Linked DNA regions of Oryzias latipes. The protein of the gene in region 7 interacts with the protein of the main gene of each other region in a pairwise test. Links are inferred from orthologs where the notes say so. Each region holds a gene or a part of one and is shown on either strand. Other genes may lie near its edges. The genes, in order: mpg, snapc3, nek6, tbc1d22b, ca8, cdkn2d and hsd17b14.

Region 1 (3,784 bases), about 4.9 Mb from region 7:
TCTTCCAGTCGCCCATGGAGTAGCGACACGGAGAAAAGCGTGGGTGGGGTTGATTCCCGTCCTCCAAACGGAATTTTTGTTTTTTCCAACCAACATTTTACATCAAACTCAAACGACGACTGCCTTAAAGTGTGCGAATTTACTCAAATCGAAAAAGTATTTTTCTTTTCCTCGAGACAAATGTTTGTTTACAATAAATTATTTTGTACATAAAAGGAATTGCATTATTGAAGATGATGACATCCCCTACAGAAAGAGCTTATGCTGTGTCGTCTGTGAAGGTTACAGAGCAGCGGAGAGTAATGATCATACCAGGCCTGCAGCTACTTCTCTTTGGGAATCCCAAAGGTGCTGAGGAAGAGGAAGAGGAGGAGGAGTCCAAACATCAAAGAGGCTTGATTTTGCTCTGAGAAAAGCAGAAATGTCCAAACATCTGTGAAATTGATGAGGAGGACCCTGGAGTGTAAATGTTAGATGATTATGTGCATTCCTGATTCCGATTTGTTCAACTTTTTATTGTAATCTATTACAATTGTAACTGTTTTTTTATGTTTAAAACTGTCTGGCTTTCACTTATAAATGAAACAACTGGGAGAGTAGTTTCAGGATTAGTCCTGTTTGGTTCTTCTCACATCGGGCCGTTCTGTCCCAGACTGCACTTCTGAGGGTCCTAAATCCTTCACGACGTTTCCAGACCGCCCGTCTGCTGCTTTATTCACAACACTAACACAAGGATGTCCGCGAAGATAAAACCGCAGAGGCTTCTTGGCCCACTCCCCGTGGGATTCGATCCCGATGCGCGGCGCTGACACTATATCCTGGGGATTTATGGGACTTTCGTCTGGATCCCTCTCCAGCCACACCTCTGGATCTGAGGCTAAATCTCGCCGGTCGAAACAGCGGGGTATATTTAGAGCCTGGCACAGCTTCGAAGGCCCGTTGCAGAGCTCTTTGTCCTTCAGCTGGCGGGCGCTCTCTCTACGTCTGGCTGCCCTCAGCTCCCGCATGATAGGCAGACCCTGCAGGGGCTCCAGAGAACGCAGCAGCACAGCGGCTCCTTCCCCTAAAGGAAGCCCCACATACAAGACATCCGTCAGCAAAACGATTGATTTGACCAACATATGATTGAAAACAAAACTGCTGAGTATCTTTAGTACTCCAAACATTGACACAGTATATGCACTCACAGCAGGGCGGATGGTTTTACCTTCACTAGAGATGTTCATGCAGAGGTAGATCCCATAGATGGGATAGACGTAAATGGTTCCCGGCTTCATAAACATGGCTAAGTTCCTGGCGGTGCGTTTGCCTCCAGCTGAGTGGGAGGCCTTGTCCTCGCCTCCAAGGTAGGATTCGGTTTCCACGATTCTCCCCCGCAGCTCTGTGCCATCTGAACGCCTGCGGACCAGAACCTGCACGTAGTAGATCCGCATCCTTTAAAAAAAGATCCTCTGTCCACCTGTGAAAAACTGATTAAAAGTTCTACAGACAATGGAAATCTGACACTGTGGATCAGAATGTTTTTTTTCATCAGCTCTCAAGTAGAACATGAATAAACATCTCTAAATGAAAAATGTCACCTCAAATATTTTAATTCTTACAATTTATTTGTAGGCATATTTTGCTTTAAAATGGTTACGGAAATCTTTTGATGGCAAATGATGTTTAGGATTGTAAAATTAAGTTTAGCATTAATCAAGTTGAGTAAAATTCTTATATTTGGAAAAAAGAAATGTCTTTAAAGACCCACTCCAATGAAAATAGCGTAGTCTTGTAGGATTTTTCTCATGACGGAGGACTTTTTTTTTAGAAAATAAAGCTTAAATTTTTATTTTGGACATTTGTTTTTTATTCAAATCATTCTGAATCAGGAGTAGACGAATATGGCTTTTGGCTTTTTACAATAGGTCAAAAGATGATGAAACTTTAAGACAAAAATATCAACATTTGACAGATATTTCACTGAAAATAAACATTTTTTTCAAGTGTTGGTTCTACTCTTAAAAACTATAGATGTTTTTTTTGTGTGAGAAAGAACTAAGCTAATGTGTCAGATTTACCTTTCCCAGGAGTGCTTTAGCTAAACGGATGCAGGGCTGCTGGAAAAAATCCTCTCCCAGTCTGTGCTGCAGGTCGTTGGTGAAATACTGGCTTTGTTCCGCCGTCACATTTGAAATATTTTCACTTATGACTAGCTTTTTTAGCTTGGCAGGTGACATTTTGCGTTTCGCTTGCGTTTGGTTTGGAAATGTATTCGCAGATTCGGGGTGTTCAGAGGAAATTGCCAAAGAAGCTGGCAGCTTTCTTTTTGTCCCCGCCATGTAGCCCTATCTGAATTGCGATTGGGCAAAAAATAAATAAATACATACATAAAAATACACTTGTGAATTAGGAAAAACAATTGTGTGTGAATGAAGTCAGCGAACCATACGTGTTAATTCATTTCAACCGTTTGTTGTCATTTCGTTTCCAATCCAGCCAAACAGGAAGTAGGCGATTGTTTTGAATTTCTTAAAGGGGCCGTCACCCCTTTTTCTTTTTAGACCTTTATCCAAGTTAGTGAACCCCCGTCCTCCTCTGTTTAACTTTCTCAGACATAAAGGGCTGAAACATAAAAGCCTCTTTGCAAAGTGAGGCCTTTTCCTGCTGCACTCTTATCTTTTCTGCCTCGTTTGGATAACGATGGATTATTAATAGAACAGAGAACCGTCAGGATCGTGACTGCTTCTGCAGAAACTAAGGGGGCAGCGCCAGTTTAGCCTCTCTGGTTCTGCTGCTGAGTTTTTATTTATTTATTTTATTTTTAAGGGTTACACTGCAAAAAGCCCCCCACCCCCCTCAGAAATAAGTTAAAAAAATAAAAATAAATTAGAGGGAAAAAAAATTCTTTTTAATGCCCACTTCAGTGAAAATTATGTTTTTGATGTTTGATGCCTTTTGTAATTTTCTCATGACGGAGGACATATAAGAAAATTAAGTTTAAAATTGGGTTAAGGTTAGGGTTACAAATGCAAGAAATGTTCACACTTGTTTAATTTTCACTTAATTAAAAAAAAAAATTCACTTTTTGATTTAACAAAACAGATACAATTTTTCTGTGGCTTTTGACATTTTGTTTTCTCATTCTCAATAGTAATCATGACCCCGAAGGCCTGCTCTGCTCATTGGGTGGGAAAAAATTCCAGACAAAAATCTGTTCAACATTTCCAGCATTACTCCCCTGACACGAACTGTTGACTTTGTCATGGCTGACGGACCCCTGAATGCTATTGTCTGCCATGGCTGTGTTTCCATTGCCCGTAGAGTGTGAATCGTGCTACTTTCATACTTACTGGCACTGATAATCTTAGCAGACACATTTTGGCAATGCATTCTGGATCATTTTCATTTTCAGTGTAGATTCATCTGTTTGTGCAGATGGATGGGCGGTGTGCAGCCTGACTAAAGATATTGCAGTAAAACAATGATTCAGAGACATGGAATTGTTGTCTTGAGTGTTTCTTAGCTGTTGCGGTGCAGAATTTGCCAAGAAGTGGTACCCTACAATAGATTAGGGTTATAATTAGGAATGTTTGTGAAGGTTTATAGAAATTTAACAATTCAGTTGTTATAAGAAATGTATTTTTACTCCATAGTTTTGTCTTTGGATGACAACTAACTTTTTCCAAAATGCACACCTGAATCAACTTCATCTTTAAGCTCTTCCTGTCAGGAAACTGTCAAAACAATTGTGTCGTCTTTTGAAATGTCTTAAAGTACTAAGATTATTTTGGAAATGGGAACA
Region 2 (4,221 bases), on a different chromosome or scaffold from region 7:
TGAATACGCGCACACACTGCCGCCCCCCCATTCTCTCCCGCTGCACGCGCTCTTTTCCTGTCCCTTACACAAACGCGCGCGTGCGTGGGCCCAATACATTCCACAACAGTGGTTACAGACGATCCCGGCTCCAATGCCTTCTTAAAAATGGGAAGATTGTTATTGTGCTGGCTCCTTTGGGAAAATAAATTTATTAATGAAAAAAGAGCTCCGCTGTTGACAACACTTGTTGACATCCATGTTAACGTAAGCTACTTCCGCAAACAACGAGTGACGTCATTCGACGTTGAGTACTCTTCTGCGCATGCGGGTCAACTCTGGGTCGTTTCACGGTCACACTGTAGATCACAAAAGTTCGGATTTACTTGGAAATGTGAACGGTCTAGCAAATAATTCGGATTTTTTCAAAAAATCGGAATTGAGCATTAAGCCCTGCAGTGTGAACGTAGCCAAAGACTGTTTCTGCTGAAGGAAGATGAGTTTGGAGCTCCAGCCCTAAAACCTCTTTACATATGCAATGTTCAGGAAGCCCCTTTGAAATTCAAAGTACGGGAACCACACACAGTAAACCTGAAAGAGAACCTTCAATGAAATAAAGATAAGATAAAAAGCCTAAGAGAAATAAAGACCAAAAAAATATAAATTCCTTCAATAGCTAAGGTCCACTTTTTCCTTAAGTCTGAATCCATTGGAAACCTGCAAGAAAAATTCAGTCACTGAGTCAGAAATGTATAAATCTATATTACTATAATAGCCTAGTATGCTGTATATACAGGTTTAGCAAAATAAAATGTACATTTATTTCGACAGCAAATTATCCGTACATCATGCAGCATGTTGATAACAGCCCTGCAGCATCATGCATGTCAACATGTGTATGATTAATGAAGCCCCTGCAGCATTATAAGAAAAAAATGATAGTCCTTACCTGTGAAATGATATACCTTCCTCCTTCATGGACTCAGTTCTCTGATTTTGGCAGTTGAAACCCGCACAATGAACTGGTATTATGCAAAAAATGTGTTCACATGCATGCACTGCAGTAGTAACTCGACCTCACCAAGATGGCGGTGCTCTCCTCCCATGAGGAACCACGTGATGTCTCCTCTAGTGATATAACTCATTGGGATTAACATATTTGAGTTGACTGTCAGGCTCTTGCTTACACAGCCTACGGGCATTAAAGACAGGAAAATCCACAAAGAAAAAGTTAAAAAAAAGAATTTGAGTAATGTGGCTTAAATTCATTGAGAGGCTACATACTTTTAAATGTTGCTAATTTTCATGGGAGCTGTGTGGAAGTTAATGACAATATGAAAAACACATATTTTCAGAACCCGAAAGGATTCGTTTTATGCAAATAGTTTTGACATATAAATAAGTGAGATTATCCTACATTACCCATAATGCCTATCACACGGAAGAGTCCTCTTCTTCTACGTTTTTTTCCGTCCTCTTGTTTAGAAACATGGCGGCGTCCGAGCAGTCGTCGGTTCCAGACACAGACATCCCTGACTATGAATACATTGGCGTTAACACCAAACCGTTTCGCATCGGCTCAGTGCGAGACGGATGGCTGACAAGACTGAGGCCCAAGGATTATTCATACCAACAAGAAGACAAAGACACATTTGAAGCTAACTTTGCAGAGGCGATGGGGATCAGTGAGGAGACCATGGCTGAGCTCAGATCCGTCTGCAGGTAGACACAGCTACCTTGTTGTAAAGTATTTAGTGTGATTTTTGTAAAAAGTAAAAAAAAATTTTTTTTTAATAAGTATTAAACTTGTACCTCTTAAAATAATCCAAGTTGCAGCAGTTAAAGAAAGCGAGTTGCGTTGCTAACAAACGTTAAGCTAACAAAGAGGAAGTGAATTACAAAAATGTCCTTTCAACTTAAAATTCATATTTTTAACATAATTTTACTCCAAATCAAGCAGCTAAATATTTAAGAGTTATTCATTTAAAAAACACTTGTGCATTCACGTTTGGATGAATAAAGACAATTATTTGTAACACATCATGAGTAATGTTAAAAAAATACCTTTTACAAATTGTTTTAATTGATAATTTTTTAAACTTTGCCTTCTGTTGGAATTTTCTCCACAATCAAACAGGAAGTAGATTGACTTCTATCGAAAAGCTAATAAGCTTGAGGACATTCTCTTACTTTTGACGACTCTATCCCCAATCAGATGTCACACTTTTTTTTTTCCAGCCTGGATTCCCTTCGTTGCCATGCTGAAGATGAGCTGCCTGATACAGAAGTTGTTCCTCCAGACTCAACACTGAAAACTCTGATGTAAAAACATCTCACTAAGAGTTCTGCTGTTTTAAGCTCCAATGCTGCTTGATGAAGTATCTGTTCTCTTTCCTCTAACAGACAAAGAAAAAAAAGGCAAGATCACAAAGCTTCTCTAAAGGTCAACAAGAACCGACATGATCTCTATGCTGATGAGCTGGTGGGTTACTTTAAAGTCATTCAATCTAACTTGATGTTAGGGGATGAGAAAATTCACTTTTGTCCTTCTCTGTACTCCGATTTCCGATGGGTACGGTTGTTGATTGACTTGCATGTGAAATTGATCTTAACCCCCATTTTAATCTGCCTCTACAAAAGCCTGAGATCCTGCCAGTTTCTGCTGTGAAGGAAGGTAGACTGCTGGACTGTCCTCCAGTGTAGCAAATGTCAGACTTTCTATCAGTGAAATGGTCATTTTGGTAGGTTTTTTGGCGGGGAGAAAGAATAGGTAAAGAATGCCAGTTTCCAATTTCTGCAGGGGTAAGTCATACGTCGTAAGCAACAAAAACATTTGGAACAAAAACCCACTATTTAGCATTAGAAAAACAACCACAAAGCTGAGAATGCAACATTTGCAGTAGCTGCGTTTACATGGGCAAAAGTAATCGAAAGACCGCCTGATCAGAAGAAAAATGCGTCATGTAAACACGCTGTTCGGAATACTCTGCCCCGATCAGACTTGTTCGAATCAAAATTTCTTTCCGATCCATCGAGATAGGTGGGTTATGCCGATTGTTTATCCAATCCTGTGTCACTACTGCTCTGGTTTAATGTCATGCATAGGCGATGTTTCGCTCCAGAGAAAGCTTTGGAGCTCAAACAGGACCGACCAGCTGCTCTGCAGAGGCCCGGTGTGAAGTGCCGCTCCGCTCTCGCCCCGCTGGCTATTCGCCTCTCCCCTCTTAAACCCTGCGAGGGGGTTAAGAGGGGAGGTGCGCTTTGTGCCTCGTGACGTCTGAACCCTGCCCGGTCTGGGCTCGGGTGCCGGTGGACCGAGCGAACTGTATCTCTGAGCAGAGCAGCTGGATTAGTAACTTTGTGTTTGAGGGAAAGGGAGGATGCTTTGCTGCGTGTGCGTTTTATTGTTCTGTTATGTCTGGAATAATTCGGACTGCAATCTGGGTTAGCGGCTGCCGGACTCAGGATAACCGTGTGTCCAAGCAGAGGTCGGAGTCGGACCGCCAGCTCACACACAGCGGCTTTGGGGCGGTGTGCGAACTTTTTAAAGCAGAAATGTCACTCAGTCCTTAGAAGCCGTTCAAACAGTCACGTGGATTTGTGTTTCCGTCGTGTCCTGACAAAATAAAGGCTGATGATATTCCCAAATATTTACGTGCAGCCAAGATGCATATTGCAGCGTTTCCCGCATGGATTTTGTGTTCATCAAACAAGGCTAATTTTGTTAGCGCGTGTGTTAGCCTCTCGTGGGAGCTGGAAGAACCCTGGGTTCCTCCAGTTCCTCCATCTTCCACAAGAAAAGCACTGACCACAAGGATTAAAAATAAAATGTTGACCGAACAGGCGCTTCATAATATCATAACATTAATAAAAGCAGGTTTAGAAGATCATCTGGAATATTACCGAGCTGCCAGTTGTCTACTGTGGCAGTTTGTTTACAACGGGACTCATTTCCCCTTTTCGGGTATTTTCAACACTACTACGCATGCCCAAATGATTTATTCCGACCAAAAGCGTGACCATGTGAACGTTCATTCTAATCGGAAAAAGGGTTTCTGGGCCCGTGTACATGGTTGAATTCTAATCTGACCATTGATCCAGTCAAGATATTTTGCCCATGTAACCGCGGCTAGTGATCAGGCTACGACTAAAGCAGGAAGAAGCAGAGGTACAGTCAGCGTCTCTTGATCTTATGGCAGTGAAGTGAGCAAAGCTACAATGAGGAAACTTGGAGTGTTTGTG
Region 3 (4,249 bases), on a different chromosome or scaffold from region 7:
AAGAACTTGCCTTAGTGAAACATACTGATAGTGTTCTTTATTGTTATCAGTATGTCACATGTGTGTTTTTGGGCCTCTTATCTTTTTCTTCTTTGTTCATCTAAGTTTTGGCCAGAACTAAAGTTCTTACTTTTTCCTTCTTTTTGAAGAAAAAAGGGCATCTTTATTTCCTCTTAATCATTCATCTTAGTTTTGGAAAGTACTGTTAAATATTTGTCTTCTTTTAGAAATTATTTGCACTTTAAGTTTTGTTGAATTATTTAAATAAAACTATCACAGTGAAATGGAAACGCATTTGTATTTTTGCTTTGCTATTTGTCCATTTATCGCAAGTCATACCGTCATCGCCGTTTCAAACACTGATATCGCATATCGCAGATTTTTCTCATATCGTGCAGGCCTAGCTCAGAGACAAAGTTCTCCTCTTCCCGCTTGTTTTTGTCCAGATGATGAAGCTAAAGGTTGTTTTAAAGAAGCCGTGCAGTGATAAAGAAGATTTAAGATAGGAACTTCTTTCTGGGGCGTGCGGACATCACTGTGCGTTATCCCTCTTACTGCAAACCCAGCAGCCAATCAGAATCGAGTATTCACCCGGACCATAGGGTTGGGCGATGTCCCTTAAATTGGCCGTTGACGATGTTTATTTCCCAATCCGCGATGATCCAGTATAAACTGAGGGAAGTGACTTTAACAAAAAAAGTAACAAACAAAATAGAAGAGAAGTAGTCCGCTCCCGCACTTCCGGGGGAGTGCGGACTTAAAGCTTTGTGTTTGATGGGAAGGGGGGGGGGGGGGGTACATGAGCGGTATGTGTGGGAGATTTAAGACTGCGATCCGTCCCGCAGCTCTAGGGGTACAAGCAACCGAACTCAGAACCGGGTCTAAAAGTGTGTCTGAGCACAGCTCGGATCGTCAGCACACACAGCGGTTTGAGCATCAAAGCAGAAATGTCGCTCAGTCCTTAGAAAACATTCAAACAATCACGTGGATTTGTGTTTCCAGTCGTGTCCCGACTAAATAAAGGCTGATGTTATTCTTACATGTTTACGTGCAGCCAGCAAGCAGCACCATCCAAAGCTAATGTTGTTAGCCCGTGTTAGCATACTAATCCTGGCTTCGTTCAGAAAAAGCACTGACCACACGGATTAAAATTCAAATGATGAGCGAACAGGTGTTTCATAATAACCGTAACATTATTAAAAGCACGTTTAGAAGATCATCTCGTATTTTACCGAGCTGACATGTCAATGTATATAGCCGCTCGGCGCTGTTTAACATTGTTTTGTATTGAATTGTTACATACAATAAAGTTTGAAAAAAAAAAAAGCCGCTCGGCGGAGTTTATATCCTTCCGTTTTTCAAACCCTACTGCGCATGTGCGAATGATTTATTCCGACGGAAAGTGTGACCTTAGTGAACGTTTTTATATTCTAAAAACATTTTTCTGGAACCATGTACACGGTTGGATTCTAATCCGACCATTGATCCCATCAAGATATTTTGTACATGTAACCGCGGCTTATGGTGTCGACGCGCAACGTGGCGGGGGCGTGGCATCACGATGGTGGTCTCTCCATCGGGATGTCAGTCACCCATCACGATGGACGATGATATCGCACAACCCTACCGGACCATGGTATAATTCTGGATATGTTTACTGATATCTAAGTGATTTTGAGAGCTATATGGCGCTCTGTCAAAATGTCACTATGTTTTTTAGGACTTGCAAAAAAGGCTGGGTGTTATTGTAAAAAAAACTAACGTGGCTAACGTGCAGCGGTGTCAGTTAGTTAGCGTAGATCATTTCAGATCAAACCTGTTAAATACTTGTTATATAACAAAATCTGTATAAATTGACACTTTAGCTTACTGTACGTAAAAAAGATTAGTGAAAATAAAAAATAAATAAACCTCACATGTAGCTTATACCAACAAGATGCATTTTTTTTGTCCATTTTCATTCATAGACAGCCATGTTTTGATTTACCGTATACTGGTCTGCTATAGTTTAACGCATTTAGAATATTTGATTCAAGGCTGATGTTTTTCTCAAGTGCGACCGCCCAGCACAAACAGCGATGGAAAATCATCTTCATTAATTCGTGCAGCCAAGATGTGCACTGCTGCATTTGCCCGCATGTATTTTAAGTGCATCCAAGGTTGTTGGCCGCACATATTTAAAATGAAACTTATCTGTCACACAGTAGCTGTGAGAAATGTTTTTTCTGCATCATTTGATCCGTCCCCTGGAGGACGCTGAGCTGCAGAAACACAGCCGCGCTCAGGAACTATTTGGTGGTTTAACCCGAAACCCCAACCATAATACTAACCTTAAGACTTGGGGCCGAGAAAAAAGGTCAGGGCTGGCCCCACGAATTCTGAACATGATGTACGGATGGACACTGTCTTGATTTTTTTTTTTTTTTTATTCACCGGTTTTGACACATCCAGCTTTCCATACATTTGCAGCAGATGGGGGGACTTCTTGCTGGTCTTTCCGTCCCCGGTCCTGTCACAAACGTCGTTTCTACATGGTGGTTGACGCCCCGAACCGAGAGTTCTGGGTCTCCGGAACGAGCAAATGAGCGCGAGGCGTCTCAGAGCCACACGCGTGGAAACTCACGGTCAGCTCGCCGTCCAAACGCAGAGTAGTTCAGCAAACACGTCACGCAAAGAGTGCGTCTGAAGCCCTACCTCAGGAAGAATTTGGATCTGCGGCCGCTCTCATTTCGTGTTCCGTCGCTCTTGGTCCGCTCATTTATTCCCCAGAACCTCCTCCTCCTGCTGCTGTTCAGCTGCTGCCGCCACGCGCGGTTGATTTCTCTGCCGTTCAGATTCAGAACACGTGACAACCTTTTTTCGCAGCTCGTGGGTTCCCGCGGCGTGGCAGCATTGGGTTAGAAACAACCCCCCCAACGTACCTGAGCAGGTACCGCAGATGCCACATGTTTCCAGGACGGATTCCTCCCACGTGGGGAGTTTCTGTACGAACCGAGCAAAAGGGGCGTGTGCGTGCGTGAGTTATTACAGGGATGTAACCATTCCTTTCACCAACAATTCCATTTCTATCACAGCCTTTGGTTGCTGATTCGATTCAAAACTTTGGTTCATTTCAAATGATCCGATTCACTGACCTAAAATGGATCCAGAACATCTTCAGCCAAAACCTCAACCAGTGTGACTCCGAGATAATTCCTGGTTCAATGAAGGTGACGTTTTCCAGATGCAATGGATAACTTTCAAGTGTAAATTAAATATGTGTATAATCACACAAGTAAACCAGAATTGATGATAAACCCATTCACATTATAGTTTCCTAGAGTTCAGTTGTTTTACCACATCCAAAGAATCCAAAGGAAACATTATTAGAACATTCTAGCACACTGGATGGTCACATGACATTCAAAGTGTTTCCACACATTGGACTGGAATGATGGACTGTGGTCAGTTTTCGCTTTCATCACGTCTGTTGTCCACTTTGATGGTACTTGGTTGTTTTTACATCATAGTAAAATAAATCTTTGTTTCAATAAACGGCAATTACCAATATTGATAAAATGAATTTATTTTACTTTGAAAAGATTTTACAGTGATATAGGTCGATTTAATGAAAATTTTGCCTCGGACAAATTGATCTGGTTGGATGGTAGGAATAGAAATCGAATTATTGATTAATCTATTAATCATTACACACTAAATATGTATGTTTGTTTGAGTTTTGTGTGTATTTTAGTGTTTTTCTTAGTGTCTGTGCCTGTTAGTATGTTTGTGTTCAAATGTGTGTGTTATAATAATAATATATAATGTGTGTGTCAATAATATGGGACCCTTTGCAGCATTTATATTCATATTCTTTTTGTTAAATCCTTATAGGGTAAAACATCTGTTAGTTCTAGACAGCATCAAGGTGTTTTGATTTGCTTCGAAAAAATTAAATCACATTTAAATGTTAAATGTATTTTATATAAATTGTTTTTAATTAGAAATGAATGAATGCACTAATGGGTTAATCCCTCACTTCCTAGTAGGAACAAATGATGAGCTTCTGTCTTTTCTTTAATTTGTCAGGATTTACTAAAAACAAATGATTGATCAAACCAGTTCACTGTGGAGTGGTTTCAATAAAAATAAAACCTTCACCACCCTTTGCTTTTCTTCTCCTTTTCTGTCCTTTTTTCTCATTCTTCAGTTTCTTTATTTTGTGTTGATTCTGTTCTTTTACCTGTTTTGTCTTCCTGTACAAGTGTTG
Region 4 (3,500 bases), on a different chromosome or scaffold from region 7:
TAAGTGTTTAACATGTTTGCTTCAAAACAAAATCAAACTATGTCAGTTGTGCTGCGATAAAACTGAGGTTGAATCATTTCTCACAAATCTAAATTTGGATCAGCTTGAAGCCACGTTTGAGGAACGAGCTGAGGTCAGTGCAGATCGTCTCTGACAGCAGAGTTCCTCTGAGGTTTGGTATCAGATGCAGCTTCTTCCTCTGCGGTCACCACATGCACCACGTCATTTCTGCTTAAGACGAGCTGTGAAACAGGAAAAAGCACAGTCTGCTCTTGTTCCGGTCTCACTTTAGATTGCGGATGACGTCTTTTCAGACTGGTGTGGTGGAGGCTGCAGGGAGCTGACACTGAGCTGATTGAGCCACTGACTGATGCTGAACAGATGAACCCAAACACGCCGAGACAAAACGGTGAACTTTTCCATTTAAAGACAAAGAGGCCTTTCGCGCACATCTAACCTCTTGCACGGCGGGCTGCTGGAACAGCGGAATCAGAGGGTTGGTTCTCGGAATGTCGATGTGGATCTGACAGAAAGAGGGTCCAAAAGATTATTGCCAGAAGGTCAGAGGTTTGTCTTCTGTGTGGACTAAAGTTCTGCCTCACCTGTCTGTACGTGTCTTTAAAGTGCTCATCTGTTCTGGAGTGATAATACTGCTCAATGAAACCAAAGTATTCCTCCCGCTTTCGGCGGAGCACCAGCTCTCTGCGCTCCTTGTTGGCAGGCAGGTATCCCTGTAAGAAGGTCAAGGGCAGAAAAAAAGAAGATGATGTTTCCGATGGGTTAGGGGAGAGGTTTAGACTGATAAACGTTGCACACTGCAGGTTGGGAGCCTTACAGATAGAAGTCTCCAGGTGATCGGCCGGACTTCTCTCGGTATTCCAGACCAGCTATGCTTCCGGAGTTCCTCTGTGAGAGGGAGGGAGGAGAGAGGACCTCAGTCATTCCGGGTTTTCTCTGCAGACCTCACAGCAGAGGTGGACAAACTGCAACAGCTGTTCAAACACTCAAAAGTGACACTCCTGATGTGCTGACTGAGATCTACAAGGAGGTGTCTGCGGCGCCGCAGTACCGAGGTCAGTGTTGGGACTCGCCAGCAGCTGCTTGAATTTGTCCAGCCGGTTTTTCTCCCGCACCGTCATGGGGGGGGCTCCTGAAGCATTCTGGTCAGAGATGCGAGCCACCAGAGGGATGATGGGACGCACGGGCAGCGACTGCTGCTTCTGCAGGGGGGAGCGAACTGCTGAGGAGAAACAAAACGCCCATGAACCTCTGCCGACTTCAGTAGGGGATAAAACACTTAAGGAGGAATGAAACCATAAAGGCCTTTTGCTCAGAGATTTTCAGCACATATCAACAGTATGTTTCCAAATTCAACGTTATCTGTAGAGCACATTTCCAGTTGAGCAGCACCTCAAAGTGCTTTTTACATCATGAATAAATAATAATCCACCACATATGCACATCAAACCCATCTGAAACAAAAGAAACGCCCCATGAAATCAATAAAAGATTCCAAAACAAAGCTGACAGGGCACAACAGCAACAGACGAAAAGGTAAAACTTACTTAATAGCAGCTAAAATGATTACAGCTTTTCTTAAAAACTGTCCACATTAGTCGAGGCCCTCACGTCTGTTCTGCAGGCGAGGCTCACGGTTCTGGAATGAGGCCTCGCCGTGGGTTTTTGTTCTGACCCCAGTAGACGTGTACCTGAGGGCTCCGGGAGGATCATAAACTAAAAGCAGTGCCTTAAGACTAATGAAAGAATCTGACAGGGAGCCAGTGCAGACATTTCAAAATTGGTGTCATGTGCTCCTTCTTTGTGGTTAAAAGGCCAGCAGCCGAGTTTTGAACAATTCACAGCCGATTATACTGGGATTCATTTTACTGGTCTCTATCATCCACCATTCAAATCTGTGCCTCATAACAGAATACTGAGCAGGCAGAGAAACTTTGCATTTCTTCTTGTGACTGACGTGAGACAATCTTGCTGTTTTTCTAAAACTGCAGGCTTCTGAACGCTCAAGCAGATGAGGGCATCGTGGACTCTCCCCACTGTCATTTCTGGGTCTTTTTTTTTTTTTAAACAATAGGTGTTTTTTCCTTTCAAATCATTTTTAATAACATCTAGTTAAATTTTTTTTAGTTATTTTATTAGTAACCAAATTCATTGAGTTTTTAAATCTGCAAAGTGTCATTTAAGAAGATTGAATATGATTATGATTATTTTGTAACACAATGCAGGTAAAATGAAGATGAACAAAGATTATTCTAAAATGAGAAACAAAAAAATTATGTCACCAGTTCTTACTGACTCGTGTGAATGGATGTGGCTCAAAACTTTATCGTTTGAATTTAATTTCCATTTTTATGATGAGGAATCATCAGACGGCGGGAGTACAGATCTGAACTTTACTGAGAGATAATCTGGAAGAAGAAATCAAATAAATAGAGCTCAAGTTGTTCCCGAAGAACAAAAAAAGCAGGGACTCTTCTGGGCTCCCACTGTCTGACGCTGAGAGTCTCATAAAACTGCAGCTGAAGTTATTGAAAAGCTCCATCATCTCTTTCTTCTGGTTTGTTTACAGGATGAGTAACTGCAGGAGGGATTCAGGTGACCTGTGAATGGAGCTGCAGGTGTTTGATGAATGCAGCTGCTCATAAAACAGACAGACCATCTGCATAAAAGAAACTGTAGGAATGAAAAAACCTGTTCTTATTTATTTGGATCAGTCCATATGTATCAGACTAAATGGCCCATCACAGATCATCTAGAACCCTCAGATCCTCACATGCTGAACTTTAAATGTAGAACAAGAACAAGGCTTTGCTTTGGTATTAATGGTCCCCGTTTAAGAACCCTGAAGATCTCAGAGCTTCTTTGCCTGAGAGGATCTGTCAAACTGTGTTCAACTACAGGAAGGAAACTTACATCAATAAACTCTATTTTTTTATTGTTTTGTTAAGTTTTTATAGAACTTTTTACTAAAATACAAATTGAGCGGTAACTGTTGATGGATTATTATAAAACATGACGTCAGATTTAAGGATCTAATCCAATGAAAATGGTACTTTTGGTCTTTTCGGAGACATTTTTCTGATGTTGAAAAAAATGTATAAAGAAAATTAAGCATAAAAATGCATTTTTGAGTATTTCTTTATATAAATAGCTGGAGCAGAGGAAAAAATGTCGATTGAAAAAGATGGTCTCAGGCGGGCTACAAGCTTCCTGCTCTGCTCCATTCTGATGCATCCACCTGCAGATCCATGAACGCCTTCGTTTTCCTTGTCTGAGCTGGAATCTGGATCCAAACTGGACGGCCCGATAGCTCCGATATTGCTCGCCATTTTTGTCACGCCGGAAATGTTAGGTGAGGGGCTGAAAGCTAGTCCCACCCACAACTCAAAGGTGAATGAACCTTTGAACTACTGCTGCTCTGCAGAAACTATGTCCTAGAAAAAAACCCACACGGTTTATGGATTTTGGCTAAAAACTGCATT
Region 5 (3,500 bases), on a different chromosome or scaffold from region 7:
GCATAATAAAAATAAAAATGTCAAAACCAGAAATGCTTTTTCATTTGCAAAATGAAGCTGCATTTTTTGACTCAAAATTAAAATGAAAAAGCAATCCACCAAAATGCTTTTTCATTTTCTACTTCAACACTACTTATTCTCTCACTTAATTAAAATGATAAAGAAAATGGTTTTTGACATTTCATTTTCAAAAATTTCTCTGGTAAATGTGTAGCAAAATTCATTTAGAAATGTCTAATTTGACAATTAAAATGATTCACAGAAATGCTTTTTAATTTTCAAAATGTAACTGCATCAAAGGACTCAAAATTAGAATGAAATGTCAGTCCTTTATAATGCTTTTTCATTTTCTTCTTTAACATCGCTCATTCTGTGACATAATTAAAGTGAAAATGCAAAGAGGGAATTGCATTTTCGTTTTCAAATTCACCCGCAAAACTGTAGCAAAATTCAATACCAGTGAGCATTTCCAGGGGGGTCAGTCTGGATGGTGTCTTTTTTAAATAACTGAAGTGCCAACTGTTTGAAAATTGTTAATGTAGAAGAATTTTATCAATGTTGTTTGTGCCCGAGCGGAATTATATGACACCAAGTCTTTCATGTATTGTAATGAATGGAAAAGGGCTGGAGGAAGATTGACGAAATTTTACCCCTTCAACATTTTGCGCCAAGCCTCTTCCAACTGTACGTGGTGGAAAAACGCTAGTAAACAGTAGGTAAAAAAAGAAGTAGAAGGAGCCACTCCCTGCTTATTCAGTGTAAACACCATTGGCTAAGTGTGCGTTCAAGAACCCGCATTTAGTGCGGTCTTGAACGCGCGTCACACTTGTCCGTAGCTTGACACTCACTAACTTAGTTTTGCACTCTATAAGGAGCTCTAAGCTTCATAAAATCAACTCTAAAGCTGCTTTTTTCATGTGTCTGAGCTGCAGGATTCAGTAACATTTTTTTTTATTTTGATGTATTATAATCATTTAAATTTAACCATCCAAAAATATTTTGTAGTAATGTCATAAGGGCAAACAAAGTATGCAAAAATGTGGTGCGCTATTTACGAATGTGTGTGCGCTTTGTTTATTTTTTGTTCATGTGCAGGTGTAGAATGGGGACTCCATTTCCCAGCAGCCAATGGTGAATACCAGTCTCCTATAAATTTAAACTCCAGGGAGGCCCAATACGACCCCTCCCTGCTGGACGTGGGCTTATCTCCAAACTATGTGGTGTGTCGAGACTGCGAAGTCGTAAATGACGGACACACCGTCCGCATCCTCCTCAAGTCCAAGTCAGGTGACTCCTCTTAACCCCAATGCCACACAGTTTTTATTCTGCCATTGGTTTGTGTTGGCTGAAGTACCAACAAACATTCCCTTTCAAATGACCCCCTTTTTTCTCAAATTCCGTGTTGCTCAAACACTTTACTAACCTTACTGTGTGTGCTACCCACAATCCCCCTGAGTTTCCTTTTTCTTCCTCTAGTGGTTACAGGGGGCCCGCTACCCAGTGACCATGAGTATGAACTTCACGAGGTTCGGTTCCACTGGGGCAAGGAAAACCAGAGGGGGTCAGAGCACACAGTCAACTTTAAGGCTTTCCCCATGGAGGTAAACACACACACAAACACACACACACACACACACACACCAGCAAGGTTGTGCCTCCAAAGAAAACACAGCGTTCCCACGTTTGCCCTCCTGGCACTAGCACTGATCCTTCCTTTAGATAACACTGGGGCTTGTTGAGTTCTTGAACTCAATGTTTTTCTCTCTGACAAAATAACACTTTTGATAAAAACACTAAAGGTTTTTTTTAGTGTTCAGGTGTTAATGTTACAGGCTTCAACTAAAAGAAGCCTGTAAGTTCCATGCATCTATCCTCCTAAATAGGATTAAAAGACCTCTAACTCACCCAAAGATGAGTGTGGTTTGTAAATCTATACTATGAACAACTGAGCAAAAAGTAGTCTATTAAGTGTATAATAAGAATACTATACTAAAAGTAAGGCAGTATACTTGAAGTTTAACTTTTATATACTATACATATATTGTAAACTTCAAATGTTCCAATTTAGTCTGAAGAAGTATTCGGTTAGTATTCTTCCTATACTACAAGTACGTGGCATACAGTACACTTGCATTCTTATGCTCAAAGTATACTTTATAACATAAACTATTTTTTTGCTAAGGGTAATCCAGAACAGTAAAAACTCTTAAGTTTTTAACGATTTCATTTGAATTATTAGGTTTAAACTAAGAAGTATGTTTCATGAACAAAAAAGTCATTATTTTTCAATTTAATTTGAATTTAAAAAAAGGTTCTCCTAAACCAGGTTCTCATTCTAAACAAACACAATGAAAAGCCAAAATTAAAAACCTCTGAACACACTAGATGGAAAATGTATGAGAACGTAAGAAGAGAAGTTCGTTAGAGTTGCTTGGTGCATTGTGGGAAATCCCCCAGAGGAATTTACGGGACTGGGGGGGGGGGTTTGGTGACTAAAGTCTGCTTATCATTAACAGAATTTTAAGAATTTTAAGGTACCATGTCTTAAATCAGGTTATACTTATTGAAGCACAACTTACAAAAAGGGAAATAAGGTCAGAGAAAAAGAAATAATGTGAAAAAGAAAGTTATACATCAACAAAAGGGTTTTACTGTGGTGTCTCATTTAATCCTCATGTTTGCAAAAGGGCTGTATTAGATGTCTTAGAGACCCACTCCAATCATCTTTTGATTCATTGTAAAAGCGTTCCCAATGAGGATGCTGCTTTTAGCCAAAATGTTAAAAAAAAAAACTGTGTTGTTTGGGAGTTTATTATAAATTCACCTCTAAGTTGTGTGTAGGACTGTTGGTGCAGAGCACGCTCTGCCCACCCATAACTGAGAGCTCTCTGTTTACATTCTCCCATTGGGTTAGGTTAGAGCCCCTCACACTACCGGTGCAACACTAATATTTGAGCTCTCCAGCTGTGCAGTTTTGAGCCAGATGTCAGCTCAAACGAGGAAAGCGAAGACATGCATGGATCTATAAGTCATCAGAATGGAGTGGAGCAAAGAGCTTGTGGTGTATTTTCTACATCACAAATAAAATCTTTTTTAAACAGCATTTTTTTTTTGTCATCTCCTGATTTACAGTGATTTGAACTAAAAAAATTACTCATAAATGTAAATCTTGGCTTAATTTTCTTCATATGTCCTGTGATTGTGGCCCTGTGTCAGACTGGCGACCCGTACAGGATGTCCCCTGCCTTTGCCAACGAGTGGCAGGGATAGGCTCCGGCAGCATCCTGACCCCGAAAGGAAAAAAAACGGGTTTAGAAGATGATTGAATGAATGAATGTCCTTCATCATCAGAAAAATGCCACAAGAGCATGTTAAAAACACAAAAACACGATGTTCATCAGAGTGAGTCCTAAAACAGTCTGACAGAGTCTGGAAAGGGTCTCTATGTCTTCAAGTGATTCAAGAAGACAAAGAGGAACTCTGGTATTAGGTTATCTTTG
Region 6 (4,097 bases), on a different chromosome or scaffold from region 7:
GAAAGAAAATACAAAAGGTGGGTTCCTTATAAAAAAAAGAAAACAAAATCAGTAAAAATAAAGGCAACAACATGATTTTCTTTTTTTTTTAACTTCATCTCCCCTTTTTTCACATTTACTTTCCTGTTGCTATGAACACTTAAAGTATCAGTTAAAAAAAGAAAAATTCAAACACTTCGCTTTGAAGTTCAACACTTTTATTGTTTTTCCTCAAATATTAAAGTGAATAATCTCACTTTTTTCCGTAAAAGTTTTTATATAAATAACATTTAAACAAATCACAATATGTTTGTATTTACAACGTCACAGGAAATGTTCAGTCCAACAATAAATAAGAGTCAATTGAAAGTCTAAGTACATCTAATTCAGATTAACAACTAGGCAAAGCAACGAGGGTGCACCATGTCAAGTTTTGTAATTTAAAAAGAAACACACGTGTATGAATTCTTACACAATAGAAATAGTTAGGAAACACTGCGGAAACTTTATACAAATGTGCACTCCCAGTCAAAAGGGAAAACAGATATATGCATAAGTATAAGGTGCCTAAATTGCACTGTGCAAAAGAGGTATCTACAGTATATAGACACCCATCCACTGAAAATAAGCTGCCAAGACAATATGTCTTGTGTCACATATTAATGCTGAGCTACAAATAACAAAAAAAAATAATCTTTTACACAGCAATGAGTTCAAGTCACAAGGTTTGAAGCCAAAAAAAAATGAAGAATGACGACGAGTGAGAAGAAAACTTTTCTAACTATGTATATGAGCAAAAAGTGAGTCCATCATATCCGGCACACAGGAAGCTCGGGCTACATCTATCGCCGTCTGACCGCTCTGGTTGGCGTGCTTCAAGTTGGAACGCGGAGCCAGGAACTGCACGACATCGCGGTGGCCTTCCCAGATGGCAATGTGGATGGGCAGGGCGCCGTTCTGGTCAGGGATGTTCACCGAAGCTCCATTCTCCACCAGGACCTGCAGGGTGTCCAGGAACCCTGTCCTCGCTGCATCGTGGACAGGCGCTATGCCGTGTTTGTCCTGGACGTTGGCGTCTGCTCCTTTCTCCAGCAACAAGCTTGCTATTTTGGAGTTCCCCATCATCATAACCTGTTCAAAAATAAATATTGTATGCATATTTATTAGCCCTCATGCACAAATCAGCAACTTCCTTTACAGAACGCCTTCACTTTTGCTTGAAAAGAAAAATCCATCCATAATAAGAGATAGAAATAAATAAAAATATAACTGTCATAAAAAACAAATACACTAAATAAAATACAGCTTTTACTTTGAGATCTGCACTAAACCTGAAAAAGAACATTTTCATTTTTTCTGCTTACAGTTTGTTAAAGCATTTATTTTTTTATGTGTGCTATAAAAATGCAGTATCATCACGTCAAGTAGCCTGACTTAACATGTTTTACAATCTTCTAATTAAATAAAATAAAAAGTGGGAGAAAAAAAATATTTCTGTCACGTTTTTTTTAACTTATTCTTTTTCATAAAAAACACAAATGGAAAATTACCGAATAATAGAAGTGTACATTAAAAAAAAGTATATAAACAGACTCGACCATGAAGGAAATAGGGAAAAAGTTGCACCAACTAGTATCTCCACCACTGGCACTGATGCTCCAGAGACATCAGCAATAATAGTAATATATTTTATTTTCTGACCTTTATTTAATCAGGATATTCCCATTAAGATTCCAAGGGAGTACTGGGCTGCTTACAAATACATTAAAACATCTAAACAATACATTTAAATTCTAAAAATACGGAGTCATAACACAGTGAAGGATTGAAATAATAAAACAATAATTCTTGTTTGATGATTTAGTATTAATAGTATTTATATTTAATAGTATACTAGTTTACCATAGTATACCAATAAATAGTATATATTAAATAAAATACAGTACTTAGTAATAAATATTAATGGACAATTTCTAACCTTTTTCCCACCCAAATACCACTATTTTACTTTGAAATCTCTGCATGTTGGGTTAATTAAATATTGGAATAGTAATTGTTGTGTGGTTACTGTGTTTACAGTTTTTATTCGTAATTAAAGCAGCTCAAATGTAAAAAAAAAAAAAAATACCCCCGTTGCCTAAATCAGATTTCCGGTACAGTCAAGTCTGCAAATTACAGAAAGTGTCGTCGAACATTTTACTGTGAAAAGTATCAAAAACAGGAACAGCGCAACTTCCTGGAAGCGGCTATTCATTACTGAACTAATTTGGCAACATGCGCGACTTATTTATTGCGCAGAGTCAATTCCTTGTATATTACGATGGTTTAAAAAAATATTTAGCTCACTTTTTGATGTGAAGATTTTATAAGAAACAAGTGTTGAGAGTTTTATGTTTATAGCGGGCTGTAAATACAGTGGAGGAGCAAACCAACCGCCTACAGATGACTAATGTCTTACTACCGTGACAGGTCTCACCTGCAGCGCCGTCCTGCCGAACTCATTCCGGGTATCAGGATGCACCCTGCATTCCTCCAGGATCCGCTGCACTTCGCTGGTATTCCCTTTGGCTGCCGCCGCCGTCAACGCTTTGCCAGCGTCCATCTGACTGAGGACCATTATAAACTCCGTTCTTGCCTGTTCAACAGCACACGCGCCCCGTACACCATGAAAATCAACCACAGTTGGGCCATTAAAACACATAAATGCACGAGGAAGACTGAAAAAGCCAGGAAGATTGCTGTCGGCTACACCTAGCTAACAACAACATCCGGCTAACGTAACTTGTAGTTTTTACGGTGACGCCATGTTACGTGACTGTAAGCGTACTGTTTTTGACTTGGTTGTTTGGGCTAATCAAACGGCAGAAAATATCCAAATCCATATTTTTTTTATTGAGAAAATTGGCCGACACTTAAGTCACATCGACAGAGAGTTATGAAAATTAACAGAAAAGCTAAAAGCTAACCGTAAAAACCGAGCTCTTTAATCCTACCTTCGTCAATACGTTAGTATCCGAATCCTCGATACGAATTTTCAGCCCGCCGACACCGCAGTCCGGTTATTTTTTAAATACAATTCAAAATGGAAGAGTTTATAAACATTGACAAATACATTTGCGCGCTGAGATCCAAACAGTAGTGGATCTAGCCGACAATTTACAAACATTGGAGAGTAGATATGCTGGCCAATCACAGGTGGCCCAATAGGCGTTGTACTTCCATAAATGGTAAGAGAGGCGTGGTTACAACTCTGTTACTACGTTATCACTGTGGTAACAGTGGGGATTGACCAATCAGAGCGCGAAGCGAAGAAAGCGGGCGATTCGTATTCGTTTGTTTCTTCAAAGACAGTCCATTCACATTTCCACGCTTTGGTTGTATTTCTTCACAACAGTGTGGAAAAAAAGGCGGGTTCATGTCTTTCGTTTTAGGCGGAATTTGCCGGCACTGATTGCACGGTGGTGAACCACACCACGGCTGCTAAATTCAGCATATAAAGTCCTCAAGGAACAACTCACAAAGAAACAGGTGCACAAAAAACAAGTTGTTTTCAGAGGAATAATCTTATTTCAACAATTTTAAAAAGATCTGAAAAGGTGACAATAAAATCAAATTGCATGGAGATTTAATATAAAACAGTTAAAACACACAAAAAAGAAGTAAATTAAAGAAATTCTTCAGGTGCAGATAAAAGGTAAAATTCATTGTGCTCTTCTGGAAGTCCTGGAGATATGCAGTAAAGCATCTTGCAGGCTTTACTTAGGCATTTGTTCTCAACTGGTAATCTAAAACAACAACAAATGCACACAATTTAAAACACAGATAGTGTCTACTTCATACTTGAATTTTAATCAAATATACGTAATTATTATAGTATACCTCCACTTTGTGTTATATAGCGCACCCAGGGTAAAGCCTGGTAGCCACTTTTTTCAATGATTTTCATATACCGAACCTGAAAAAAAATGCATAAAGTTAAATGACACATTATTATCGCATATAGATTAGAAGGCAAAGACAAAACAAGTCAATGGACATAAAAAAAACTATTTAAAAGTCTTAATGACAATACAGTAATTGGCAACTGATATAATAAACACTTTGAAGCATTCATACCT
Region 7 (4,260 bases):
GGAGAGATGCTGTCCCACATCACACAAAGGTGTTAGCAGGGCAGAAAAGACCGACAGATGTCAAAATAAAAGCAGTTTTCTTTCTTTTAGTAAATATCCTTTAAGACCCACTTAGATGATAATAGAGTTTTGGGTGTTTTCAACATGTTATTGACATCTTTTTCTGAGGATTTAAAAAAACAAGCTTTAAATTTAACTTCTATATATTTCTTTTTTCATATTGTTGTGAATCAGGAGCAGATTTTTTTTTTAATCCTGCTGCTCTGCAGAAACTATGTTTAACACAGATTAATGTGATACAATTTTTAATTTATATAATTAAATGTTTGTTAGTTTGCCGCATTAGAAATGAGGCTTTTAATGTTCTGTTTTTTAACACAACTAGAAAAAGCTCACAAAAACTAGGAGCTTCTGTGACTGCAGTGTACCTGCACTTTAACATACATTTTTTCCTCTCTCCTCAAATAAAATGTACATTCATTCTTGGTCCAGCTTCGTTTTGTTTGTAGTTTGTAGTTCAGGTCTGGATGAACGTAAAAAAATGAGTACAATAAAAAAAAGAGGGGAGGATGGAAGTTCCAAAGCGTGCAATAAATAAATAAATACATGTTAGGGAGTTACAGCCAGAGGAAGTAACAAAGGACATATTATGGCACATACATTAAGATTTAAATTTAGTATCAAGAGATGGAAGTCCATAAAGAAAACATTCATAGTTACTTAAGAAAAACAAATACATATATACTAATATTTTGTTCTTTCTTCAATTAATATCTGAAAAGTAGCATTAAAATATTTAAAAAAGTGCATAAATGTTCTTACTAAACCACAAAGGGATGGTTTTACTGCCTTAATGTACATCAGTTATCAATGTGGTCACAACTGAGTAATTTATTCTTCAGCTTAAAGTAAGGCGTGGAGAAGTTGGGATGCCTCACCAGTTCACTCTCACGTGGTATTGGCTCTCATCCACAGCCATCGCCTTCGTCATGGAGATGATCGCCCCCTAGTGGAGAAAGTAGCGCATTACAGGAGCCGCCTGACTGCCTTAAGAACATCCTTCCAAATTCACTCACTTTCGTGGCAACATATGGCACTGCATCTTTCTGACCAATAGAGCCCACGAGACTGGAAATATTAATGATGTTTCCCTGACGCTGCCGCAGATATGGCAACGCAAACTGGAGGGAGACACACAAGGACACAAGATGTTAGAACAGTCCTAACTGTGTTCTGATTAGGGTTCTTGTTACACTCTAAAAAAAGTATTTGGGCTGTAGTTGGAAATATTAACTTTTTCACATTGATCTAATTTAATTATTCAGTTTGGTGAAAATAAATCGTTTTTTGAGTTCATTAAACTTAAAAATGACATTGTTATTTTACTTTTAATCAACTTAATTTGATTAAGTTGGTGTAACTTCGGTGTGAAGCTGTCAATGCGTCAAGACATCATGATAAAGAATTGTGGGATACCATTTTCTTTGCCTATCTAGGCAGATTGGGGTTTAAGTGTGAGTCCATGTGTTTTGTTGTCTAGCTGTTTTAATTTAAACTGTTGTGTTTCTTTCTTTCTGCACCATGAGTTAGAGTTGAGAGGATGATGTGATTTAATTAAGTTAGATAAACTTATTTCTTTTTTAGAGTGTAGGGTTCTTATTAGGAAAAGTTCATTTTCTATTTTGGACATTCATACACTACAATTAAAAAGAAAATCCTTAAAACAAAATGTTGTCCTCATAAAGCATCTTTGGTACTAAAAACTAACACAAAAAGAAAACTGTGAACCAATGTTTTCATATTTTTACTACTAAAGGCTCTTTTTATAGTGATTTTGCAGTTTTATTCAAAATAATTGAAACTAATGTAAAATAAAATGTTCTTCTAATCATAGAAAAGTTTACTTTGGAAGCCAGGAAGTAGCTGACGAGGTTCAGGTTGAGCAGATCTCTGAATTCCTCAGCTGTGGTGTCATCGATGGATTTGTGCGGAGGGTCTGAAAATCACAACAAACAAACAAAACAGCAACCTAAAGGTCTCCAAAAATGTCTTCAACACGTCTGCAGGAGGCCAGAGAGGTTTGAGCAGACTCACGCCAGCCTGCGTTGTTGACCAAGCAGTCGATGTGTCCATGCAGCTCCACGGTGGAGGAGATCAGCCTCTGTGGAGGTGGGTGGGAAACAAGCCCCTCGTCAGACTGGATGACAGAAAACGCCAGTCTGGTTGGATGGATTCTTGTAATAACCCAGAACTTCACCTTGATGTCCTCTTCCTTGGTGACATCACATCTCACAAACTTGCAGGATCCTGGTCCGGTTCTGTTCAGTTCTGCCTCAACAGTGTCACCTTCTGCAATAGTGACACAATTAAGACACTTCAAATAGGCCTAATTTGATAATGTACAAGAAAAGGGAAAGACTGTCTCTTTGCTGACCTCCTAATGCACAAAACACCACTTTGGCTCCATTTCTCACTGAAAAACAAACAGACTTTCAGGGAACTGGACTTGAACCTGCAACCCATTTGGAAATGTGGACAGATCCAATACCAAAGGCCTCGGTAATCCCTCTGCCGATTCCTCTAGACCCTCCAGTCACAATAACAACTTTGCCGAGGTAGCGGAAGGACATGGTGTTTGCGCTTTTCCTGCACGGATGTGCACGGAAGCGCCGCAAAGCCGCGAGCCGGTGCGTCCCGCAGCGTCCTGCAGCAGGAGAGGCGAGCGGCGGGTCTGTGCTCTGCGGGAGACTCACAGAAACACCGCGACTGGGCAAAGGTCTGCGTCTGCACCGAAAAAGAAACTATGCTGCATTCAAGCGCCGCTGGGAAGACTGGAAACTCTGAAATTCTTCAATCCTATTAAAAACATTTTTTTTTTTAAAAATCTGAAAGGAATTTGCTTTCGAATATATTACTTCTCCTTTTAACTGACAGTTTCGTGAGAATTTAGATAAAAAGAGGAAACATTTCTGAAGTTCCTTTAAAATTTGTTAAGTCAGCCTGTCTTTATTTCTCCTTTAAAAAATAAAATAAAAAGGTAGAGGCCCAGAAATAACTTTAGACCCGAAAAACGTGGTGTTTTTATTTTAACTTGTCCTGTCCAACAACCGAGCTAACATACAAGAGCTGAAAGCCTTTTGAGTTGGACAGATTTGACTATTATGGATCTTCTGACAGCCAAGGTGTATATCTGTATAAACCCCTTTTAGGTTTTTATTTTAATTGTTTGTTATTTATTTATTATATTTTATGTTTTAAATATATATTTTATTTCTGCTGGAAAGACAAATGTTACATCCAAAAGTGAAAATCTGACACCAAGATAAGTGGAAGATATCTGTCCATCTGTGGGTTAGGAGGAGGGATAAAGCAGACAGGGATAAGTGTGCACGTGCACATGCACACCGGGGGGGGGGGGGGGGGGGGGGGGAGATGCAAGCACGCTGCCAAAGTGTACCATGTGATCATTAGGGGGACCAGATCCTCCCCAGCATGACCGGTAGGACCAAGAGAGAAGGTGCAGGAGACCGCCGTTTGGGCCCCAAGGCCCAAATGGAGGGGACCCTCCTAGGGGGCCCTTCCATCACTGCGGAGCACAGGATAGCCCGCCGTTTGGGCCCAAGGCCCAAATGGAGGGGACCCTCCTAGGGGGCCCTTCCATCACTGCGGAGCACAGGATAGCCCGCCGTTTGGGCCCCAAGGCCCAAATGGAGGGGACCCTCATAGGGGGCCCTTCCATCACTGCGGAGCACAGGATAGCCCGCCGTTTGGGCCCAAGGCCCAAATGGAGGGGACCCTCCTAGGGGGCCCTTCCATCACTGCGGAGCACAGGATAGCCCGCCGTTTGGGCCCCAAGGCCCAAATGGAGGGGACCGTCCTAAGGACACCCTAGGGGGCCCTTCCATCACTGCGGAGCACAGGTTAGCCCACCGTTTGGGCCCCAAGGCCACAGGACAGGCACATCAGACGGCCGCCATTGGGGCCACCGGGTGCTGGACACCGGGTGCTGGACACCGTGACGCGGGGCCACATCCCAGAGGACCCAGGCGCCGCCCACCACAGCAGGCCCAGGCACCCGACCCAAGCAACCACAGCTCCAACCCCCCCCATACACTACACTATCCTCTACAACCCCCTGACCCAACACCTCCCTTATCCATCCCCGGTGCCCACCCTACAGTGGGGAGGGTAGGTCCCGGCAGGGTAGCCCCCCCCCCAGGCTTGTCCCCACCCAGGCACTCTCACACTCACAAATATTCT

Evidence for each region.
Region 1: the proteins of hsd17b14 (region 7) and mpg interact in binary tests that used the Homo sapiens proteins (3 or more experiments, as listed by UniProt). The two-hybrid records come from large-scale screens. The link is inferred for Oryzias latipes from reciprocal best matches to the Homo sapiens genes HSD17B14 and MPG.
Region 2: the proteins of hsd17b14 (region 7) and snapc3 interact in binary tests that used the Homo sapiens proteins (3 or more experiments, as listed by UniProt). The two-hybrid records come from large-scale screens. The link is inferred for Oryzias latipes from reciprocal best matches to the Homo sapiens genes HSD17B14 and SNAPC3.
Region 3: the proteins of hsd17b14 (region 7) and nek6 interact in binary tests that used the Homo sapiens proteins (3 or more experiments, as listed by UniProt). The two-hybrid records come from large-scale screens. The link is inferred for Oryzias latipes from reciprocal best matches to the Homo sapiens genes HSD17B14 and NEK6.
Region 4: the proteins of hsd17b14 (region 7) and tbc1d22b interact in binary tests that used the Homo sapiens proteins (3 or more experiments, as listed by UniProt). The link is inferred for Oryzias latipes from reciprocal best matches to the Homo sapiens genes HSD17B14 and TBC1D22B.
Region 5: the proteins of hsd17b14 (region 7) and ca8 interact in binary tests that used the Homo sapiens proteins (3 or more experiments, as listed by UniProt). The two-hybrid records come from large-scale screens. The link is inferred for Oryzias latipes from reciprocal best matches to the Homo sapiens genes HSD17B14 and CA8.
Region 6: the proteins of hsd17b14 (region 7) and cdkn2d interact in binary tests that used the Homo sapiens proteins (3 or more experiments, as listed by UniProt). The two-hybrid records come from large-scale screens. The link is inferred for Oryzias latipes from reciprocal best matches to the Homo sapiens genes HSD17B14 and CDKN2D.

What each region holds. Positions count from the first base shown.
Region 1 is NC_019866.2:8,193,694-8,197,477, reverse strand, and holds mpg (DNA-3-methyladenine glycosylase), read right to left. Parts: upstream 2,489-3,784; 5' UTR 2,322-2,488; coding exon 2,061-2,321; intron 1,413-2,060; coding exon 1,208-1,412; intron 1,064-1,207; coding exon 609-1,063; 3' UTR 501-608; downstream 1-500. Other genes in the region: GATOR complex protein NPRL3, read left to right, coding at 1-23. UniProt on the Homo sapiens protein: Hydrolysis of the deoxyribose N-glycosidic bond to excise 3-methyladenine, and 7-methylguanine from the damaged DNA polymer formed by alkylation lesions.
Region 2 is NC_019859.2:16,549,255-16,553,475, reverse strand, and holds the start of snapc3 (snRNA-activating protein complex subunit 3), read left to right. Parts: upstream 1-1,421; 5' UTR 1,422-1,468; coding exon 1,469-1,701; intron 1,702-2,217; coding exon 2,218-2,301; intron 2,302-2,382; coding exon 2,383-2,461; intron 2,462-4,221.
Region 3 is NC_019870.2:24,939,309-24,943,557, reverse strand, and holds the start of nek6 (serine/threonine-protein kinase Nek6), read right to left. Parts: upstream 2,801-4,249; 5' UTR 2,695-2,800; intron 2,350-2,694; exon of another isoform or gene 2,331-2,349; intron 1-2,330. UniProt on the Homo sapiens protein: Protein kinase which plays an important role in mitotic cell cycle progression. Required for chromosome segregation at metaphase-anaphase transition, robust mitotic spindle formation and cytokinesis.
Region 4 is NC_019865.2:4,883,452-4,886,951, forward strand, and holds part of tbc1d22b (TBC1 domain family member 22B), read right to left. Parts: intron 1,241-3,500; coding exon 1,070-1,240; intron 907-1,069; coding exon 836-906; intron 732-835; coding exon 603-731; intron 524-602; coding exon 458-523; intron 1-457. UniProt on the Homo sapiens protein: May act as a GTPase-activating protein for Rab family protein(s).
Region 5 is NC_019875.2:20,920,516-20,924,015, reverse strand, and holds part of ca8 (carbonic anhydrase-related protein), read left to right. Parts: intron 1-1,095; coding exon 1,096-1,287; intron 1,288-1,476; coding exon 1,477-1,601; intron 1,602-3,500. UniProt on the Homo sapiens protein: Does not have a carbonic anhydrase catalytic activity.
Region 6 is NC_019859.2:10,441,412-10,445,508, forward strand, and holds cdkn2d (cyclin-dependent kinase 4 inhibitor D), read right to left. Parts: upstream 2,801-4,097; 5' UTR 2,681-2,800; coding exon 2,456-2,680; intron 1,111-2,455; coding exon 757-1,110; 3' UTR 181-756; downstream 1-180. Other genes in the region: ap1m2 (AP-1 complex subunit mu-2), read right to left, coding at 3,739-3,764, 3,859-3,934, 4,096-4,097. UniProt on the Homo sapiens protein: Interacts strongly with CDK4 and CDK6 and inhibits them.
Region 7 is NC_019866.2:3,307,114-3,311,373, forward strand, and holds the start of hsd17b14 (17-beta-hydroxysteroid dehydrogenase 14), read right to left. Parts: upstream 2,801-4,260; 5' UTR 2,631-2,800; coding exon 2,549-2,630; intron 2,474-2,548; coding exon 2,435-2,473; intron 2,350-2,434; coding exon 2,258-2,349; intron 2,162-2,257; coding exon 2,095-2,161; intron 1,997-2,094; coding exon 1,905-1,996; intron 1,182-1,904; coding exon 1,077-1,181; intron 1,007-1,076; coding exon 939-1,006; intron 10-938; coding exon 1-9. UniProt on the Homo sapiens protein: Catalyzes the NAD(+)-dependent oxidation of L-fucose, yielding L-fucono-1,5-lactone, which rapidly converts spontaneously to L-fucone-1,4-lactone. Can also act on D-arabinose and L-galactose, with lower catalytic efficiency. Does not use NADPH.